Elephas maximus indicus: one gene and its partners. The protein of the gene in region 2 purifies or fractionates together with the protein of the main gene of each other region. This does not show direct contact. Links are inferred from orthologs where the notes say so. Each region holds a gene or a part of one and is shown on either strand. Other genes may lie near its edges.

Region 1 (7,576 bases), on a different chromosome or scaffold from region 2:
TCACCAGCCACTCAATGCTGGCCTGGAGCCCAGACTCTCCCACATCTCCGGCTCGGATCTGGGGAAGACGGGGCGGGAGGGGGGCGGGCGAGGAGCGGGGGGCGGAGCCTGGCAGTCAGAGAAAGGAGGCGGAGTCTCTGGGAAAGCCTCGCCTCCCGCCCGCCCCCTCTTCTTCTAATCTACCATCAATCTCTCACACATATATTTATTTTTTCTCAAATTCCCCTCCCTCCCCCACAACGAACCACCATAATAGGTCTGTTGCACATGCGTATTGCATGCAGGGGGTGGGTTTGTATTTTCAGGCCTTTTGCAAAGAAACTACCAGAATTTTCCGCACCACCCACAATCATTCCCCACCCCCACCTCCGAGGAATCACATCTATATATTATGTTATATTATTTCTCCAGACTTACCAGAAGGGGGAGGGAGAAGAAACGAGTTTTTGGCTTCCTGCTCCCTTCCCCCATCAACACGAGTGCTATTATTTTAAACGTTTAACAATGTAAGGAGACTGGAGAAGAGGGGGAAGGGATAAAATCGGTCTTGGGTAAGAATGTAAAACAAAATGGTGAGAACCAAAGCGGTCAGAATGAAAAACAATACAAGCCTCTAATATCTAAAATTCATATTCTAGAAAAGGGTGAGGGAGGACAACTTGAACAAATTTCCTGAGAGGAGGATTATTTTCCCCACACTTAAACAGAAATAATTAGCAGACTAAAAATATTTTCTCAAAGTTTTACCTCAGAAAGTCATCTGAGGGGGTGTATCTGGGTCACTCATTTGACTTGGAGGGCTGAAAGGGAGATAAAATTGCCCTGGGAGAGAGGGGAGGCGGGTTTTCATTTCAAATAAAAATTTAAAAGCATTTGACATATCTATTCAGAAAGCAAAGAGGGAGAGGGGGAGGGAATATCGACACAAAGACCCACCTCAACCTAAGATTCTTCCTGCTCCTCTCTCTCACGTACCCATATCCGAGTTCAAAACCTCCCAAATACCACAACCCAAATTCAGAATACAAGTAGGTGAGAGTTGCCAATTTCTTAACTAAACCTGTCATCCTTTCTTTCCCTTTATTTAGCACCTCTGCTGTTTTCCAAGCAACCCCTACCCCAATTCTTTATTCCTTTCCCTCATGCAAAATCAGTGGGGGCTCTAGAATAACATTAAAAAAAAAAAAACTTTTCCTTTTTTCAGACAAGCCTAGGCAAAAAAAAAAAAAAAGACTATTTTCTTTCCCCTTAGACACAACCCCCCCCCCAAATTTAGAAAGCTCCCCACACTCCCTCCTTCAAAGGTTGCCTCAGCAAGACAGAAAAGTTTGCCACATATGGCACAAAGATCAATACGGCAGTTTTACGAAGAGAATGATGTTAGAAAATTTGAAGTTGGGTGCATTTGTGCTGCATGGCACCCAGAGGTCTGGGGGTGTGGATGTCCCCCCTTTCAATTCCCAAGCAGGCAGTGTGAGCACTGCCCTCGCTCACCTATCCTATAAAAAGACTAGAAATAAACCAACTAGAAGATGGTCTTTGTGGGCCCACCGGCGGGGCGCCCGAAGCGAGGCAGCGGTGTGTCCCCTCCACGGCTGGTGGAGCAACCCAGAAGTGCCGGGTGACTCGTCAGCCCGAGGGAGAGGTTCTGAGTGATGGTCAAGCTGCAGAACAGCTGAGTGGGCAGTTCACGCCCCCCAACGTGGTCTGGGTGCGGGCGGTTTGAGCTGAAGAGTGAGTGACAGGGAACGGCAGCCACGTGAGAGTCACAGCTGGGCAGCTCGGCCACCCCAGACTGACTGGGTCATGGGGGGGCGCACTTGACACAAAAGAGCCCAGGGCAGGGGAGTGACAAAGGGGGAGGAGTTGGGGGGAGGACTTCGGTTTCCCCCTGCACTCTGTTCTCGCTCCCCAGTCTTCAGTGGCGCCGCCCCCCCAGTACAAGTTGCGGGGAGGGGGGGAAGGATCAAGTCTGATTCCGGGAAGTGTTCTGCTTGGAGTGTGGCCACCACCTGCCCCTAGTCCTCAGCCGCCCACGAATAGCCCACGACCCCTCCCCACGTGCCACTGCACGCCCCTAAGCGGACACAAAAGTCTCCGCAACTCGGGGGGGGGTCCAATGGGCGCCATTATCCCCCCTGCCTTCCCAACTCCTCAGGGGAGGGAGACTTAAGAACACCACTCGCGAAAACCCAGTTTTCCCTCAGTCCAGCCCCACCGGGGCCGAAGCCCGAGGGGCGCCCGCGCGGCCGCCCCTCCCCCACGCGCCCCTCCCCCCCACGCCGCCGTCCGGCCGCCAGGGTCTCCGCGGTCCCTCGCTCGGCCAGGGAGGGGGCCCTGGCTTCGCCTCGGCCGTTTCCTGCCTACCCCCTCCCCGCCGAGGGTAAAAAAAAAATCTCCTCCTCCTCCTCCCCCGAAAGCCGCGACCAAGTGGCCCGGTCCGCGCGCGCAGCTCGCTCCCAGCGCTCTCCAGCCCGGGCGACGGCGGCAGCGGCGGCGGCGGCGACGGGGGAGGGGTGCGGCGGGGGAGGGGAGGAGGCCTGGCCCCGCCGCCGCCCGGATCGCCCGGTCGGACCGCCGCGGGGCGATCGGCCCGAGACGGCGCCCCGCGCCCCGGATTCACCTCGCCTCGGCCGCGCGGTGGGTGTCTCGCCCCCGCTCGGCCTCTCGCGCCCGCGGCTCCCGCTGGGGGCTGGGGGAGGTCGAAGCGGCCGCTTACCTGGAGGCGGGGGCGGCGGCGGCGGGGGCAGCGGCGGCGGTGGCGGCGGCGGCGGGAAGAGGTGGCAGCCGGGGGGGTTGTGGCGGTCGCGGCCCCGGTCGTGGTCCGGCCCGCGCCCGAGTACTCTCTCGTCGTCGTACTCCTCATCGTCCTCGTCGGCCGCCTCCACCTCCTCCTCCTCCTCGTCGCCCTCTTCTTCTTCCTCTTCTTCCTCCTCCGACACCACCATCTCCTCCTCCTCCTCCTCTTCGTCCCTCAGAGGGGAAGCCATCCTGTGGCTCTGGCCCCCCCACCACCCCCCCACCCACCGCCCGCCCGCCTCCCCCACCGCTACCACCACCACCACCTCCTCCTCCTCCTCCTCCTCCTCCTCCTCCTCGGCGGCGGCGTCCTCCTCCTCACCGCCTCCCCCAGCCCCCAAAACCCCCGGGCCACCCCCCTCTAAAACCCCCACCCTCGGGGCCGCCGTCTGAGGAGGGGGGCCAAACCACCCCAAAAATTTTCTTGGAAAATTTTCAGGAGAGGAGAGACTTTTTTGCCTCTCTCCTCCCAAGAGAACAAGAAAGGGGGATTAAAAAAAATTATATATATATATATATATATAAAAGTTTTCGACTTCTCTCTACCCCCCTCTCCGTTGCCTTAAATATATTTAAATTCTGAGGGGGGCGCTCAGAAATATTTCTCAGAGCTGAGGCACTAAGATGGCCGCCTTGAAATTATTTTTAAAACAACCCCCCCTCCAGGACCGCCACCCCCTCCATGAAGAAAGGGAGAGGGGGAAAAATCCCCTTTTAAAACAAAATGGCTGGCTTAATATTTCATTTTTCACCCCCCCATTCTCCTCCCTGTTACACCCCCATCTCCAAGCTTTTACCCAGAAACCCAGAAATTTCTCCCTTTTTTCATAACTGATTAGTGCACAGATTAATAGAGATATTTTCCTTGTGTACTGAACTGTGTGTATGTGTGTGTGTGTGTGTGTTTTGGGGGGGCATGAAGGATTTCTGCATAAAACAAAAATGGCTGCTGTGACTAACTCACCCCTTATAAAAAATATTTGAGGGGGGGCATTAATCAGTAGTCATGCTCAGTCTGACATCAGCATAAATTGTTAAAGGTTAACTAGTTAAATACTAGTCCAACCAGATTTAATTTTTTTTTCTTTTCTTTACTAGTCTCTTCCTCCCCACCTCCCTTCTCTAAAGAAAAGCTTTTTTTTTTTTTTTTCTGAATACTTCAGAAGGGAGTGGTTTGATGTGAAGGGTTTTTTTCCCCTTCAGGCATTGAAAAGGAAAAGATGAAATATATGTTTATATATAAATCTGTTTCTGCATACCTCATTGAAGTCAGAATGCATTTAATCGTGTACGTATCTTTTAAGCGAGAAGTGGTACTGAATTTTTTTCTTTCTTTAAAAAAAGTGATAGAAATTCTAGTGACTTTTGGGAGAGAGATATGAATAGATATGATGATTGAGTTTTTTTTCAAAGGAGTCCATGTTTGATTCTCCCTTTCGCCCAGCCTTTTCGGTGATTTATAATTGCTGTAAATTTTATCTTCACTCTTTTCCCCTTTCCCCCCTCCCTGCCATTAATTGAATATAAAATTCATCTGACTTAGGAAATTAATTTGGGGTAAATAGAACAGATTTTTAGAATAAAGGGGAAAGAGTCAAGTCTGACGATTGTGAAATTATTTTCTCTTTTCTCCCATTTCAGTACATTTCCTTCCTCCACGATCTCCAACACTGACAAAGTGGATGAAACTGAGGTGCTGTGAAAGAGAAAAGTAACTGGGACTGAGAGAAAGAGGTAGGGGGTCACATTCAGGTGTTTTCATCTGACTTTCTAACATATGATTTCCACCTGTACTCCAGTGTTTATCATAAAATGGTTCCAGTAATCAGATGGAAGGTTGGAAAGGAATCCAAAAGTAGCGTCCTCCTCCAGGGACTTGACCAGAAAGGTCTACACAAAAAACAAGACTTGCCAGTTGGAGGTGGAACACTTGTACCTTTTCTACCAACAAGCAGTGCTAGCAAAGAAGGAGGGTAAATAGCTCAGTTCTTCCCTTATTCATTCTTGTCACTTTTTTCTTACTCTTGTTTTCTCCCATCCTTTTGATTTCACTTAGCTCCTTGCTTCCACCCCAAGCCTGTGGAATCATTTCTCTCTGGATTATTTTTCTACCTGTTAAGTAGAGCTGCTAGCCCTTCAGCCTCTGCAGTGCTCAGGAGCAACCTAAGAGGGAGGGACGGGTAGGCAGCAACCAGAAGGTATTAGTGATGGAGAATAATACACAAATTTTTAAGAGGCTAAAATATTCTTTGTTCCACCCCCAACACACTTTATTGAGCATTAGTTGCTATCCCTTTCTTAATATGAGCTTTGGAATTCTCTTGCTTCTTTCATATCATTCCTGTACTGAGTCCAATTCCTATTCTTCTACCAGATTTTGTTCTTCTGTCCTCTCTCTCAGTCTCTGTTCTAGTCTATCTGGGTTTCCCTCTCTTTCTGTATATGGGCTTCTCTGTATGTACGTCTTTATTTTTCACTAAGACCGTTTCTCATCCCTTGGACTCTCAGGCTCTGTCACCTCTAAGTGACTTTCCATCTCTGTCTTCTGTTTCCTTCTGTTTTCTGGTCTCTTTGTATGCCTCTTCCTCACGTGTGCCTGGCTTTCTCCTCTTTCTGCCCTACCTCATGGATAGTCTGTGGATCATACTGTGTCTGGGAAGAACGTCTCCACGTGTGTGTGTGGGCCACGCTGCGCATCATGTGCATCGCAGCCTTTCTGGCTCTGTGACCCTCTCCCTCCTTGGTGAGTGTCTCTGCCTGCTTGCCACATGTGCCATGATCTGCAGGTGTGGGTGACTAAAGATGGGTTTTGGGTGGCTGTGTGCATCTCTGTACAAACATTAGTCCTGCTGTCCCTTGAGTGGGCATTGTATACAGATCTGTTAATTTGCCTGATTCTCTCTCCCCTGTCCTTCCCCCGCTCTGCAAGTCTGTATTCTCTCCTGTTCTTGCTTCCTATTGACCTCTTGATTTTTCTTCTTCTATCCTGGTTTCCATCTGCTTCTCTACCTGCTTGCTCCTATCATGGTGCCTGCCTGCCTGTCTGCTCCTCCCTGACTGGCTGGCAGCCTCTTTCTCTCTCTCTGGTTGTCTGTCTGCTTCTCTGGCTGTTTGCCCACCACACTCTCTCTAGCCATCTGTCTCCTCACTTCCCTGTCTCTATCACTTTTTTAGCCTGCTTCTTTTGGTTTATCTACCTTCCAGGCCCTGCCATGGTTCCCTATCTCCATTTGCCTCTTATCTTACTTTTTTGTCTATTCACTTCTTTTATTTATACTTGCTATGTTCATGATTTTTCCTTACCTCCCTTTTATGTCTGTCTACTTGCCTGCTAGTATCCCACTGTTTAATACCTGTGTCTTTTAGACTTTCCACTTAACCAGCTGTTTCTCTCTTGGTTCCCTCTATGCCAACACCCCACCAATGGTAATGGTCTCTCCTCCCTGGCCCCAAACTCTTTATCTGTGTTCTTGCCATGTACACTACCGTGCCTTCTCTCAGCACCTGCCTTCATTCTCAGTTGTCTCTTTCTGTCTGTCTTTTTGGCTACCCAGGCAGTTAGCCTGCCTGCCTCAGTCTTTTCACCATTCTCCTAGGATCTTCACTGTCTTCCTGCCTTTTACCCTTTGCCTGGCTGGCTCTTGCTGTCCACATCCTGCTTGCTTTTCTTTTTTCTTCTTTGTTTTTCTAGTCAGTGTTTGAATAGGTAGTATATACACATGGTACAAAATTTTTAAAGTATAAAAGCTTTACTGTGAAAAGTAAGACTCCCATCTATCCCTTTCCCTCAGTCCTCCAGTTCCTCTCCCCAGAGGCAGCCACTATTTCACATCTCATGGACATTTTTCCAGTGAAAAATATACACACAAACACACAAGTTTACTTGCTTTTCACTGTACTCCTCCCAGTTTAGTGGCATGCTTATTCCTCTGTCAGTCAGTATCCCTTCCTACTTTAGGGGGACTGCCATCTCTTGCCTCTTGTCTTTTTTTATTCTACTTTAGTAGAATTCTAGTTTCTAGTGCAAATGGTTTATACTCAACTATTAACCTAAAGGTTGGTGGTTCAGATCCACCCAGCAGTGCCACAGAAGAAAGGCTTGGCAATCTGCTGCCATAAAGGCTACAGCCAAGAAAATCCTATGGAGCAGTTTCTACTCTATAACATGTGGGGGTCACCATGAGTTGGAATTATCTCTGTGGCAGTGGGTTTGGTTTTGATTTTTAGTTGCTGGTTTCATGCTTTTAATACCAGTATCTGAGAAGAACTTAGGAAGGGCTTGTTCTCTCCTAATCTAGTCTATTCCTCTTAGACAGTTGTCTTACACCCTTGTTGGTCTCTTCATCATTGAGGTATGTATTAATTGAGAAAAAATGTGAGAGCGCTGTCAGACATAGCTATAGTTAGTAAGTACAGATAGTTTCTAAGCTGATCTATCACACATACATAGGGTAGACAGAGGCCTATCCTTCTTTTCCCGCTTAGTCTATATGAATTCTTTAAAGGCATATGAATCTAGATCCTTTTAGGTTGTTGACGTAGGCCTGCGGAAGAAGTTTGTCTTCCTCCTAGTTTAAAAACTTTTGCTGCTTACTACAACTTGTCTCCTTTTTCACCCTTCCTTTTGGCTCCTCTTAAATCCCACCTTAGAGATTTTACAACTCTTTGGGGCAAACAAAGACACAGTCTCTATCCAGATCTCTTCCAGAGAAATAATGATAAAACTGCTACACACAATGCACTGTTGTTTCATTTCTGCTTTTTCAACTGCCCGTAT
Region 2 (6,831 bases):
ATTCCCGGAACATCCTGGTGTACAGCCAATCTGGTATATTCAGAAGAAGCAGATGGCAGTTGGGGGGGTGGGGGGGGTAGTGAGGCTGGGAATACTGCATGGTCATAGCTGACTAACCTATGGGCACATACTCTGATTCCGAGAAGATTCTTGGGCCCCTAAAACTGCCGGTAAGATAGCATGCAAAATACCTTATGGGAAGCTGGCCTTTCATCAAAGGCTAGAAGAGTAAGAACAGGGCAAAGCTCCCCCCCTCCCCAGTCAAAAACAAAACAAAAACAAAAAACTGGCTATGAACAGTTTCCAGGGTGAAAATATAGTGATATACAGGAACGCCCAAAATGAAGCTGAATTATTCCTCAGCAGGGAAAGTTTCCCCAGATGGTGACCTAAAACTAACAGAACCCACTAAAAGGCCCTCATAGGCCCAGTCAAGATCTCCTGGATCATTTCCGCACCTGTTCCCCGGTGCCAGATTCCATGGGTTTTTCTCTATAGGAGAAAGCACTGACAGGGCCTGGGATTCTTTGAAATGGCCTGGAACCTAGGTCATGCGTGTATTGTCTGTGGGCAACTGTCACAGATTCTCCTGGTCAGGCCTTAAACACCATCCACAAGAATTCACCAGACAGAGCACTGACCTACTTTCCACCCCACCCAGAATTAGGGGTTATCTTGCCCTTATTTGGGTTCTATAGGAATGCAGGGCCAGGGATAGGGATCAGAAATCTTTCCAAAACAAAAGGCCAGTTTACAAATTTTTATGTGCTAGGCAATCTGGTAAGGGAGGCGGTGGGGTGTGGACCATCAAACCTTACTGAGTAGGGAAGAATGGAAGGGTTGGTGAGAAGACTCTCAGAAACAGCAGGGACAAATACATAGAAGCATCTGCTAACTGGAGGATGAAATTGTCCTTCAAGATATGTGGCTCAAATGGTTTCAGGGTCAGAGTGTAAGGGGTGAGGGTTCAGGACTTCAGGGGCCTAGTTGTTTCTGGCCTGTTTCTGATCATCTCTAATGCTTGATGCTTTCCCTCTGTAGAGAATCCCACCTCCCAAGTCAGCTTTAGGAACAATGATGACTTAAGACTGCAATAGATGGGGTTATAAGGGAATGGGGCTTCTTAGGTGGTCTAGAGTCAAGACCACCTTCATCACACAGACATGCCAATAGTTCAGTTTTATCAGTTTTATTTATGTTCTCCATTGCCCTCTGAACCTCACTGCTCAGATAGTTTCTCCAAACCCAACCCACCCCACAACTTGCCCACCCTTCACACTGATTCTTGGTGAAGCCTCCTTCCCCCATCCTCACTGTCTTGAGTTGGAGGCAGGGGATCTATCACAGACTGCAAACGTACAGAAGGAGGAAAAGAGGAAGGTACACCTGCTCACCTGCTGCCACCCACCATGGTGAATCCTATCCCAGAGGCATGTCCCAACTTGACCCCTCTTCTGAAAGTTCTAGAGAACTTGGATTTAAGGGAAGGGGCATGTAGCCAGCCCTAAGTCCCCTTAACTGAAGCTAACCCTAGCGAGGTCACAGTCTTGGCACCTATGACTGGGGGTAAGCAGGAGAGACTGGGAAAATCCCCCTCCCAGAAGGAGGTTGGCAAGTACGGTAGGACCTGTGATCCGGGCACAAGGGGTTCTTCCAGCAGCACCCCAGACCATTCCCGGGGAGGATAAGCCAGAAGGATGACGGGGGGCAGGGTTGGGGTATTAGGAGGCCAGGGCTCAGCTACCCCTGGCCGGGAGAACAAAAGCTGAGTTACAGCCGCCTCCGCTGCTGCCGCGGGCCGAGCTCTTTGTGACACTTTGTTTGGGACGCAGAGAGGGAAGCACTCCTCATCCTCTCCCCTCCCCCAACCCCTGCTCCTGGAGAGTTTGGGCCTCCCCCCTCCCCCACCAGCCCTACCTGGGCCGGGGGACCCTCATCCACTCTGCCTCCCGGATCAGCTGCCCAGCGCCCCCAGGCCCCTCGCGCCCTCCCTCCCGGCCCCTACAAAGGCGCCCACCCCCCTCCCTTCTGCTGGCCCTTCCCCTTCGGTGTCCGCTCTCCCAGCTCCCCCACCTGGCCCCCACCTCCCTGGGGCCCCCCACCCCCAGGTCTTCAGGCTTCTGAGGCAGCCGCCCCCACCGCGCCCCCCCAGGAGCTCTGGGCGAAGTTTGCTTGGGGCCGAGCCGGCGCCCCTCCCCCGCCCCCGCCCCCTGCACCTGCTCCGAGCCGGGCGCGCAGAGCGGCCCCCCCCTCCGGGTGGGGGGGAGGGGGCCGGGGGCGGGGGCTGGATGGCTGGGGGGGGCCAGGAGTGGGGGGAGCGGCTACTCACGAGCCCCGGGCGGGCGGCGGTGGAGCGGGCGGCGGCGGCGGCGGCGGCGGCGGCGGCGGCGGGCGGCGGGCCGGCGGCGCGGGCGTCAGCGTTACGTGGGGCCGGGGGAGATGCGCCGGGCCCCGGCCCCCCCGCCCCCGGCCCGGCCCCCGCCCCCTCCCCGGTCCCCCGCCCCCGGCCCTGGCCCGCATTGTGTGCGGCGGGAGGCGGCCCGGCCATTAGCATGCGGGGGGCGGCGCGGCGGGGCTGGGAGCCGCGCGGGAGCGGGAGCGGGAGCTGGGGACCCCGGGAGCCGCGAGAGGCGGCCGCCAGGGGCGGGGTGCGGGCAGTTTGGGGATGGGGGGCGCTGTCGGAGAGAGGAAGGGAGGGAGCGGGGGTGGGGCGCACAGACGATTGGAACAGGAGAGTGGAAGAGATTTTGAAAGGTCATCTCGTCCTTCCCCCAGCCTCCAAGCTGGACTGCCCCTCCCACCCTAAACCCGGACATACCAGGCAAGGAGTTGGCTCTGCCGCTCTTTCTGCCCCAACATGCACAGACTCGGGAAGTTCTTCCTGGGGTTTTATCTCAAAGCCTCTCCCTTATATTTTCTGTCTCTCTTTTGGGGGAGGAGGAGGGGCGATTAGAGAGATAGTTAATGTCTGCCGTATAAGAAACATTATTAAAGTTACTCTTCGGTCCTTTCTGTTCTTGATAAACAATTCCAGCTCCTTCCTCTTGAGTTCTATTTTCCATTCCTTAAGTCACTTTAATGGCTCTTCAATACAACAAATATTTACTGAGTTCTTACTAAGTACCAGGCACTATGCTCAGCGCTGTGGGGGATGCACAGATAAGGGGCATTGTGGTCTCCTTCCTCCAGGAGCTTGTAGTCCAGACAGGGGCTACGATCTTATAAATAGCATACTCAGATTTAATCGATATTTATTGAGTGCCTCTTCACATAGTTAATAGCATATAATCCTTACAATAACCCTCTGAAATATAACTAGTCGCCATTTAAATGTAAGGAAAATGAGGCTCAAGGAGTCTCTTTCCCCAGCCAGTCACTGGTCTGCAAGCCCAGGAATCCTCAGAGCAAGACGAATGTCTCACATTCTGGCAGGCCATCGCCACCAAATAAAATTAATGCCCATGAAAATCGAGGAGGAAGACGTAGACACAGCAGTTTTCTGGATCCTTTTAAAATGGAATTCCCACTCCCCAGAAAAGGAAAGAGTGGGTACAATGTTCCAGTGAGGCTTGGCCCGGCACTGAGCAGGGCAGAAGTGGCTTACAAAGAAGGCCACTCGCCTCCCAGTAGTAACTCCCAGAGGTATTCTGGCTCAGTTTTCTTCTACTATCAATAATAAGAAATAATGATGATGATAATAGCTACTAACATTATTAAGCTCTTACATGCCAGGTGCTGGGCTGAGCTGGTTCATATGAATTTTCTCTTTTAATACTCAAGACAACTCTTTGAGATTGGTATTAACTGCCCTTAATAAACAAGGAAACAGAGAGATGAAGTAACTTGCCCAAGGACACCCACGTAGATCTGGTATTTGAACATAGGACTGGTTGCCTGCAGACCAAGACAGCCTTTCCTATCTTTGATCTATAGAGTGTATATTTGGGCCCAGCTATAAGGTCACTATGACTCAGAATTGACTCGATGGCAATGAGTTTGGGTTGGGTTTTTTTTTTTTTTTTTTTTTTTTTTTGGCTCTGCTCCTTTCTGTAGAAATAAATGGCTCCATCTCAACTTCTGAATAAGCCCTTTAGTATACGGGCATCAGGCTCATCAGGATGACCTCATCAGTACCACTAACAGTTATTAAGCACCAGCCCTTAGTAAACAACTCTTCACACATATTATTAGTCCCCTTTTATCTGTGAAAGGTTTAAATAGGTAGAATAATAATTCTTGGATAATAATTTATCCAAGGTCACATAGCAGGCATACTAGCAGAGCTGGATTCTAGTTCAGATCTGTCTCTTTGCAAGGCACCTTCTAGCTCTCAAAAATACTAATTACTGCAATAGTGTCTTTCCCAAGACTAACCATTTTGGGTCCATCCTCTATACATCTCTAGATGCAAGTTATCACTGAGCCAGAAACAATCACAGCCATAAACAGGTTTCTCCATCCACTTAGTTGGTTTCTGATGCAGAGCAAATCCTTCGAAATGGGAAGGTGGAGAAGCAGTCCCGAAAGTGAGAGGCAGGAGGCCAGAGATTTAAATCTTACCTGGTCTGGGGACAAAGCTGCAAGTGGTAATGACAGGGACCAATCCAGACAGTAATGTGGGATTTCCCTAGAGAAGAGCAAGTAATTTGAGGAGGAAGGATAGAAATGGGGGGAAATTAGGGCCCAGGGTGATGGTGTCCATCAGGATGAGGCTAGCGATCAGAAGAGGAACCCAGGGTGGGGGGAGGTGGGGGCAACAGAAAATGGAAAGAGCAAGAGGCAGGGATGGGTATTTTGTGGAATGAACTGAGGCTGGCACCAACCAGGGCCACTCCCTGGATCCTTTGGCCCTCATAGGGACCTTTGCCCCACCACACCCCAGCCCTGACAACCTGTCTTGCCAGAGCAAGTGTGTCGTATGCTCTGAGCTACCAGGCCCCTCTGGGAGCCTCAGGCCCCTGCGGGAGCCTCAGGCCCCTGCTGGGTCCCATCCCTTCAGAGAAGCTACTTCATACTAGGTAGGTGTGAGGCCCCGGGCCTGAACCCCCTGGATACTGAAAGCAGGTAGGGGGGCAGCTGAAGGAGACATTGCTGAGTGTCCTGCCTCCTGATAGACAGGCCCCATAACTCATTTTTCCCAGCCTAGGAAGCACCCAGTTCCAGTAGTCAAAGGAGCCATGGAGGAGAGAGCGGGTCAGCAAAAGTGGGAGAGATCCAGCATTCATCTGGAAAAGCTACGGCACTGGGCGAGGCACAAGCAGAGTGGGCACATCTTGGTGCTGGCGGTGAGGCCAGGCTGCCCCACCCCAGGCTCCCATATGCCCACCTGTATCCCAGTTCAATTCCACCCATGTTCAGTAAGACCCTACCATATGCCAGAAGATTTGCTAGGCTCTGAGTGGGAGGAGGGAGGAGGAAACACAGAGATAAAACAGGCAAGATCCTTAATCTCCAAACAGCTTCCATCATGTGGGGAAAATATATAGGTAAGTAACTATGACATGAGGCAGAAAAATTAAGTGATACCCCCTTCCTTCAATCCCTTGGTTGAATACCCTCTCCAACCATCCATTCATCCCAATTCCTAATCTCTGGAAGAGGCAGAGGTTGTGAGGAGAGAGGGGAATCCCTGAAGGCTCCCCCTCAACTACCGTGCCCCTGGCCCCCAGGTGAGCCAGCTCTGGCTGGCAATGGCTGTGGTGCCCTTTGCTGTCTCTGTCGCCTGCTTGAACTCTGCTTGTCACATGGCCACAGCGCTGCCCCTTGGGCCTGCAGCCTCGGTGAGACCCACCTCAAGGGAGCATGGAAGAAACAGGGGCTCCTTAATAGGGCCAGAGCTCAACCCTTGCCCTTCTCACCATTCAGGGTCTCCTCTCTGGGACTGTCACCCTTGAGCTGCGCAGAGCACCTCGCCTCTGGAAGGTGAGAGGGGAAGAGAACGCAGTACTGTCTCCCTTTTCCCCCACACAAACACACCACACACATACCCCTGAGCCCAGGAAGTAAGTGGCTCTGTAAGTGTTGACTAATCCTGTAGGCTGTGCTGTCCCTGACTGACATAAAGGCCTGAGGAGAGACAGCAAGAAAGTTAAAGGGCTGACAGCCTTATTTGGTGGTGGAGATGCAGGAACAGAGTTTTGATTTCAGCTGACTGCAGGTGGGACTTGGGGTTGGAGTGAGTCCCCTGGGCTACACAGGGCTGAGCTGGCTCACTGGCAGGTGCGGGCCATGATGATATTGAATATCTTCAACCTGATCTTGGCCTTCATTGTGGTGGTGGTGGAGGTGATGAAGACAGCCTTGGCACCTGCCCCAACTGCCCCCTCCCAGGTATGGTTGAATGAAGAAGGTGGGAGGATGAGGCAAGAGGAGATGGAGAGGGAAGAGGGTAGGGGCAAACATGTGCTGGGTCCCCTGCAATATCCTCAGCCCTATCTATCTGCTGCAGCTAGCCGGCTTGCTGGTGCTGGAGCTCAGCGCTGAGGCCTTCACCCTAGGGGGAGTGCTGGTCTCAGCATATGCCCTATTCCTGTTGAGCCAGAGGAAGCCAGGATGCTGCAGGAGCCAGAGTCTGCACTATGAGGAGCTGCAGGAGGTACGGGGAGCCAGCAGGGAGGCAAGCACAGGATGCACAGGAGGGGCTACCAGCTCACTTTCTCACTGTCTATCCAATCAGTAGTACTTAAGGGAAAACAAAGAGGCAGGAGGAACATCAACGGGTCCTAGATTGAAACTGACTGGCTTTCTGGCTCTGGACATTTCTCCCCTAATAGTGGGTAAGAGAGAATTTAGTTGGGACTAGAACGGGGGAGGAACATTAGGAAGCTACAT
Region 3 (7,168 bases), on a different chromosome or scaffold from region 2:
CCGCCTGCCTGACTCCACGCCCCATGGGGAGCAGCTCCCCTCCCGCCACCCCTAGAGCCAAACGGTCCCTCTCACACACACAGCAGCCTCACAGACCTGGCCCCGGGATGGACAGCTGGTGCCAAGGCCGGCCAAAGCGACCAGCTGCTCGACTGGGATGGGCAAGGGGAGGGGCCGGGCGGAAGTAACTTCAGGAGCTCAGGCACAGGGAGCGGGAAGGGGCCCCTGGGAACCCTGGATCAGGGACCCTCACGGTAGAGGGAGGGAGACACAGATCTGGGCCAGAGACCGCCCCGGTGACGCAGCACAGAAGCTCCACTGATGCCCACCTTCCTGTCCAGGAGTCTGGAGCAGCTCTGCACTTGATACCCTCTCAGGTCCCAGGCCTGCCCAGCTGCCCCTACTCAGTCCCATGTTTATGCTGAAGCTTGGGAGGCCACCCAGAAACGTGATTTGAATCCCGACTGTGCCACCCCCAAGCTGGTCAAGGGCCAATTATTGGGCTGCTTGGAGCCTCAGTTTCCCTGTCTACAAGGTAGGGATGACAACACACCTGTAAGTGCTACTCACATCAGGGAAGCACTCCAAGGCAAGGGCAGGTGTTCAGTGGCCAGAGCCCAGCCTGGGACAGGGCCAGTGCCCCCTCCAGCCCCGCCCCCCCCACCACATCAGCTAAGCCCCAACTTCCTGAGCCTTCCAGGGGACTGGAAGGCAGGGGGTGGTGAGTATGGCTTGGGAAACACAGGCTTTGTGCACCCAGACCTGAGTTCTAATCCTGCCCCACACAAGTTATGGTCCCTCCCTGGGCTCAGGAAGGTATGGATGCTAAGTGCTAACCTGGGGAGAGTGAGTGGCCCAACTCTTCAAGGCCTCTAGAAGACACTAGCTCCAGGCAGGAGGAGATCCGGAACCTCCCTGTGGCCTCTGCTCCACCCCACCTCCTTGTCTTTTCTCCCCCTGCCCTGTCTTCTCTCCTATGGGCAAGGGCCACTCCTGGCTGTGTGACCTTAGACAACATCCTTCCCTCTCTGGGCCTCAGTTTCCCCAGCTATTTGAGGCAATGGTTTCCAGTAGAACAACTAAAGGCTCTAGACCCTGCTGTTTGATGGCACTGGAGTCAGGTCTTGGGGGCCAAGGGGAAAGGGAGTAGGAGTGAGAAACTGCCCCATTTTGGTGGGAGTGGGGCAGTCAGGCAGTAGCTCAGGGCTTGACTGTCCTGTCACCCCAGCAGCATAGTGTGTGACCCCCATCCTATGCCACTGTCAGTCCCTTCTTCAGTGCTGGAGGGGGTGTCTCTGGCCCTGGAAAGAGTTGGAGAAAGGGCCCCCGAGTTCCTCTCCTGGCCACTCCTTCCCGCAGACACAGGGAGGGCCATTGGGTCGGCGGAGGGAGGCCACCAAGAGAAGCAGACTCCACGTCAGCGCAGCGTCTCCCTCCGCGGAGGAGCATCAGACAATGAGCCAGTGTGCAGGAGCAGGAGGCCAGGAAGCTCCTGGGGCCGGAGCTCCCCGCCCCCACGCCAGACAAAGAGCCGGCCCGGGCCTGGGGAGCTGGCGGCCTTCCCGCCTCTCGGGGCGCCCCGGGGAGGGGGGGCCTCTCCAGCGGGGACGTGGGGGCTTTGTCTAACTCCGCCACCGCCGGCCAGGCCACGGCTTGGCAACCCACCCACGAGCAGGAGGCTGGGCTGCAGGGCGTGAGGGATGATGACAGGGAAGCCGGGAGGAGGGGCGCGGAGAGTCCATCTTGGATGCAAATGGGGAGACAGGGCTTTTTGCAAAGGGGTCCGCAGGGGGCATGTAGGCCCCCCAAAAGAAAACAGCGATTTGGGGACAGCACTCCTCTTGGAATGCACCATAGGAGATAGAAGAAAGACTGTTTACAGGTGCCAGCTAGTCCCGAACAGGGCTGCAGGGGTCCTCAGTGGGTGTCCCTGTTACCCTCAGTGACCCCAATCCCTCAGGACCCCAGTGTGGGGCCCCTGCCTCAACTACACCAGGGCAGCCTGAGAATTCCCGCCTGTCCAGGCTGGCACCACCCTCCGCCCTGCCCACCCCCAGAGAGATGGAAGCAGAAGACATCCTACCTAGGCAACAAAGCCTGTCTCAGGAAGGCCTGCGGACCCACGGGAGGTGAGGGCATGTGAGAAAACGGGGGCTGTTTGCTCTCGGCGGCTCACAGCCCACATCTGAGCAATTCAGATCACCCCAATCTGCAACCTTAATCTTAACCCTTTCCCAACCCCAAAACCTCAGTGTCCAAGAAGTTTTTTTGTTTTCTTTAAATCTTATAGGTCCCTTTAGAATTTTTGTAGTTATGGAGTCAACGTCTGGAGGCCAGGCCGGAAACTCGGGGCAAGCTGCCAGCTTGGCATATTGGCGAGCAGAGCCAACCCTCCCCCCCCACCCCAGGGCAAGGCCCTTGGCCCTCTCCCCCAACCAAGGCGCCCCGCTTTTTTGGACGCATGCTTCCAATCAAGTGTCTAAAGGTCCCTGGTGAGGAGACAAAGCCAATCACCCCACAACCCCAACAATTTTACCTCCCCTCCCCGACGGCGCCCTCGGTCTCCCAGGTACCCCACCCCCTGGGCACAGCCTAAGGAAGGTTGCCTGATAACTTCTGGAAGAGTTTCCGAGACCCCCTGCCCTCCAGGGAGGGGAGATGCGTACCTCCCGATTTCTGCAGAAGGGGGGCCTTCCATGACAGACTTAGGGGCTCCGAGATCTGGGCCCCTGAAATGCCGCCCTCACCCACCGCCCAAGACACCCAGAAGCCGCGGGTCTTCCCCAACTACTTTGACTCTGCGCGCGCAAGAGGTGGTCTCCCGCAAGTCCCGTTCTGGGCGCCCCCCGTTTCCGCGCGCCAGGCCGGACCCCCTTTACCCTTTAAGTCCCCGGCCAGGCCAGTGCCTCCGGGCCCGTCTACCCGGCCCCGCGCCCCCAGGGGCGGCCGCAGCCTGGCAAACCCGGCGTTCCCGCCTGGGCCCAGCATTGCCCGGGTGAAGCCCCGCAGCCTGGCGCCCCCCACGGGCCTGCCCCGCGCCCCAGGCGCCCGCGCCCCGCGGCGCCCGCGCGCTGCCGCCTCCCGCCGGCAGGGGCCCTCGCCGAGCCGCCCAAAAGCCGCCGGAGGAAAAAGGAGCAAGAAAAGCCTCCCTCCCTCCCGGCCCGCACGCTCCGTCCCCGGATCCCCCGGCCGCGGCGTGGGGGCTCCGCGGCTGCCAGCGCCCCGACCCCCGGCCCGGCCACGAGCAGGCCCGGGGGGAACGAGGCACGCGGCGAAGTTTGGCGCGCGGCGCCGGAATCATGGCGGCGGCGGCGGCGGCTCTGCCACGGGCCGGACCCGGTGCCCGGCGCCCCGGCCACGCCGCGAGGCCCCCGGGAGCCCCTGGCCGGCCGGGCGCGCGGGGCCCAACTTGGCGGCACTTGGCGCGGCGCGCGACCGGGCGCTCACTCACCCGCGTTGAGGGCGGCGGCGGGCATGTGCGCGTTCAAGTTCGGCTTGTACGACATCCCCCCACGGGGGCCGCGCCGGGGCGGCGGGCCGGGGGCGGCGAGGCGGCTCCGCGGCGGGGCCGTGCGCCCGTCCGTCCGCCCGCCGGGCTCCCGCGCACTTTTTGTTGTGGACGCGCGGGCGCACCGGCAAATATGGCCGTCCCTCACCCTGCCGCCCGCCGCAGTCGATCACCCATACATCGGCGGGCGCAGGGGCGGCCGCAAACTTTGTGCGGAGCCGGCGGTGGCCCGGGCCGGGAGGGGGCGGCCCAGCGCCCGCGCCCCCGGCGTCAGGGCTCCGCCCGCCGGCCGCGCCCCGCGCCTCCGCGCGCGCCCGGCGCCCGGCGCCGCAACTTGGCAAAGTTTGGGGGGCGGGGGGCTGGGGGCGGCCGGTCGCGCGAGGCCCCTTTCTTCTGCCTTCGTTTCCGGCGACGCGGGGAGGGGAGGACGTTAATCTACCGCTTAATTTTTTTTTTTTTTAATAGCTAGGTAGAATTTAAGAATGACTTCTCCCCCCCCCCCTTTTTTTTTTTTGGCTGTGGGGGCAGGGATGGAAAATTACCTGGAGAAAATGGTGGCGACTGGGGCTTTTAAGCACGGAGATCTTTCCAGATACCGAGTGCTGGCTCTTACCCATGATGAGAATAACCAGTTCTTGACACTGATTTTAAATAAACTTCTTGTCTGTGTATTAGGTGGTTTTTAACCTTTTTGTGGGGGCCTATGACTCCTTAAGGCTCTGACAAACGCCAAAGGCCTTCTCCTCGGGACAGTTCACCCTGGCATCCACCTAATTTTGAATACTAACGCATCCAAATATTTAAGCAGCACCAGCTCTATGGCAGGCACCTTCCTAGGCACTAGGGAGCCAAGAATGACCTTGGCGAAGTTTCTACTCACAAATTTCCACCCTCCTCCGACCCCACCCAAGCCCATTCTCTGATCAGAGACATAATCATAAAATGCATTTCGGATTTGATGAATCACCTTTGGGGGGGGCTATTTCTTGGATTTTGGCTACATAGTAAAGCTTTCCAAAATAAACAGGAGGCGCACTTTTTTTCTTGCCTTGGTTTGCTGGTTTAGTAACTCACATTTAGACGTCATTGCTGGATCTCAGTGACCTCTCCACCGAAGAAAGAAGGGATACCCACCCAGTCTTTCCCTTCTTCCCTCCCTCTACGACTAATGGTGCAGGTGACACCCTTGCCCCGAAACCAGCACCCAAGGAGTACTCTTGGAAAACGTCACAGTAACCAAACCCAACTAGTCCATGGAGCACACATCCTAGTGGGGAGTAGAGGTCAAGACAGCACCTATTTCATAGTGGAAATCATGGAAGGCCATCTAGAAATAGGGCAACAGAATGGTGCCTGCTTCATTCCTTTTCTGGAGTCCCGAGGGGCTGGTGCAAACAGTTACTGCCATAGGCTGCTAACCAAAAGGCTGGAGCTTTGAGTCTACCCAGACGCGCCTCAGAAGAAAGGCTTTACGGTCTACTTCTGAAAAATCTGCCATTGAAAATCCTAAGTGTAACAGTTCTACTCTGACATACGAGGGGCACCATGAGTTGGAATTGACTCAATGGCAACTGATTATTATTCCTTTCTGGACATAAATTAGATTTTCCTTCATCTGGAGTGACATCAATTCAACTCAACCCACTTTTTGATTATCTTCTGTACACCCTATTGAATGCTGCCATAAGCAATGGAAGTGGTATGTCTTCTTTTTCCCATTGGGATTGACTGTTGGTGGTTTACATGTTGTTGGTGCCGAGATACTACTTACTGCTTATACGTCGAGGGTAAAATTTGGTCTATCACAAAGTGGATTTTTTTTAGAACCCACTGGCAAGACAAGTGGGGTCGCCATGTCCAGGCTGGACATTGAACAGCAGTGGGTCTGTTTTTTTGGTTTGGTAAGACAGAACTGGAGCCCTGTGGTACAGTGATTAAGAGCTCAGCTGCAAACCAAAAGGTCAGGTCGGCAGTTCGAATGCACCAGCTACTCCTTGGATACCCTGTGGGGGTGGCTCTACTCTGTCCTATAGGGTTGCTATGAGTCAGAACCGCCTCGCCTGTAGAGATGGTTTTTTTAAATAGAACCAACGAATAATTAGAAAGGTTTTACTAAACTTTGTGTTTGGCTATTAACAAATGGCACCCAATCTATTTAGTAACATTTGAAACAATCAATTTGGCGTTACTTCTGCTTCTTGCGTGGAAATTCTGTCATAACATTTGGAACTCTAGCAGCCATCTTATAACCCTGAGGATGGAAGACATGCGCTAAAGATGGTGGAGTAGAAAAGTAGAGACTTCATAGAGCTGCCCACATCTGGAGTTCCTTTACAGAAGAGAATAACCCTATGTGTTTAAGCCACTGTAACCAGGTTTTTACCTGAGTGCAATTCCTAACTGATGAGGCTGTCCCTGACAACATGTTCAAAGAAGAAAAAAGAAAGCTACGTAAGTATCCAACAATAAAGGATTGCCTAGGTATGTTATGTTATGGAGCCCTGGCGGCACAGTGGTTAAGAGCTCAGCTGCTAACCAGAAGGTTGGCAGTTCAAATCCACCAGCTGCTCCTTGGAAACCCTATGGGGCAGTTCCACTCTGTCCTGTAGGGTTGACATGAGTTGGAATTGACTCGATGGCAGTGGGTTTGGTTTAGGTATGTTATAGTAATACATAAAAAAAAAAAAAAGCATCCTGTGATCAGCTGTAGGCTAGCCCACCAAAGGTTGCTAAGTGAAATTTTATTCCATGAATAACTTACAGTCACCCCCTTCTGTACTGTCCCCAGGGACCAGTACTCCAGAGTACACGCTACTGTCCCACAGAAATATTATGCCAGCCACATATATAATTTTAAATTTTGTGGTAGTCATGTTTTAGAAAGTACAAACCTGGGGAAATTATTTTTTAACGACATATTTTATGTAACCCAATATCCAAAATAGTGTGATTTCAACATGTAATCAATATAAGGAAATAATTAAGATTTTTTTTTTTTTAATTGTACTTAGTCTACAAAATTTTACACTTACAGCACATCTTAATTCAGGCTAGCCTTGTTTCCAGCGCTCAGTAGCTACAATGGTTTGTGCCTCCATGTTGGACAGAGCAGGGCTAGAAGCTACAAGCAGAGGGCTCACAAGGCAGAGAGACGTGGGTACTAGTGCTGGCCGTACCACCTTTTAGCTGTTTGACTTGGCCTCTGTTTCCTTGAGGGCAAGAAAGCAGCTCTCAGCAGCCTGCCCTGTACCTTCTACAAAACTCTGGGGTATTCACTTGAGTTGTTGTTGTATTTTGACCACAATGCATAGTCCCTCACTTTAGATCCTGGCCATAATTCAACAAATATTTTTCCTTTTTTTTTTTTAATTGATATAATCCACATAGCATGAAATTCACCATTTGGAAGTGTACAGTCCAGTGTTTTTTAGTATATTCACAATTGGGCAACCATTGCCCCTTTCATTCTCATCACCCCAAAAAGAAACTCTGCATTGGTTAGCAGTCACTCCTGATCCTCCCTTCCCCCAGCCCTATGCAATCATTGATCTACTTTGTCTCCATGGGTTTGCCCATTCTAGATATTTCATACCAATGGAATCATATAATATGTGGCCTTTTGTGAATGGCTTTCACCCAGCATGTTTTCAAGGTTCATCC

The links.
Region 1: the proteins of ZNF219 (region 2) and CHD3 purify together in Homo sapiens (affinity purification with mass spectrometry; 3 studies listed by BioGRID and IntAct, counting the BioPlex papers as one, with this or other methods). This does not show direct contact. The link is inferred for Elephas maximus indicus from reciprocal best matches to the Homo sapiens genes ZNF219 and CHD3.
Region 3: the proteins of ZNF219 (region 2) and CDK2AP1 purify together in Homo sapiens (affinity purification with mass spectrometry; 3 studies listed by BioGRID and IntAct, counting the BioPlex papers as one, with this or other methods). This does not show direct contact. The link is inferred for Elephas maximus indicus from reciprocal best matches to the Homo sapiens genes ZNF219 and CDK2AP1.

What each region holds. Positions count from the first base shown.
Region 1 is NC_064837.1:12,893,081-12,900,656, forward strand, and holds the start of CHD3 (chromodomain-helicase-DNA-binding protein 3), read right to left. Parts: upstream 3,006-7,576; 5' UTR 2,991-3,005; coding exon 2,720-2,990; intron 2,641-2,719; exon of another isoform or gene 2,515-2,640; intron 1-2,514.
Region 2 is NC_064828.1:31,442,058-31,448,888, forward strand, and holds the start of ZNF219 (zinc finger protein 219), read right to left. Parts: upstream 3,010-6,831; 5' UTR 2,819-3,009; intron 2,389-2,818; exon of another isoform or gene 2,330-2,388; intron 1,871-2,329; exon of another isoform or gene 1,395-1,870; intron 69-1,394; exon of another isoform or gene 1-68. Other genes in the region: TMEM253 (transmembrane protein 253), read left to right, coding at 5,178-5,285, 5,670-5,780, 5,866-5,922, 6,220-6,330, 6,449-6,595. UniProt on the Homo sapiens protein: Transcriptional regulator. Recognizes and binds 2 copies of the core DNA sequence motif 5'-GGGGG-3'. Binds to the HMGN1 promoter and may repress HMGN1 expression. Regulates SNCA expression in primary cortical neurons.
Region 3 is NC_064840.1:6,984,442-6,991,609, reverse strand, and holds the start of CDK2AP1 (cyclin-dependent kinase 2-associated protein 1), read right to left. Parts: upstream 3,006-7,168; 5' UTR 2,989-3,005; coding exon 2,880-2,988; intron 1-2,879. UniProt on the Homo sapiens protein: Inhibitor of cyclin-dependent kinase CDK2. Also acts as a component of the histone deacetylase NuRD complex which participates in the remodeling of chromatin.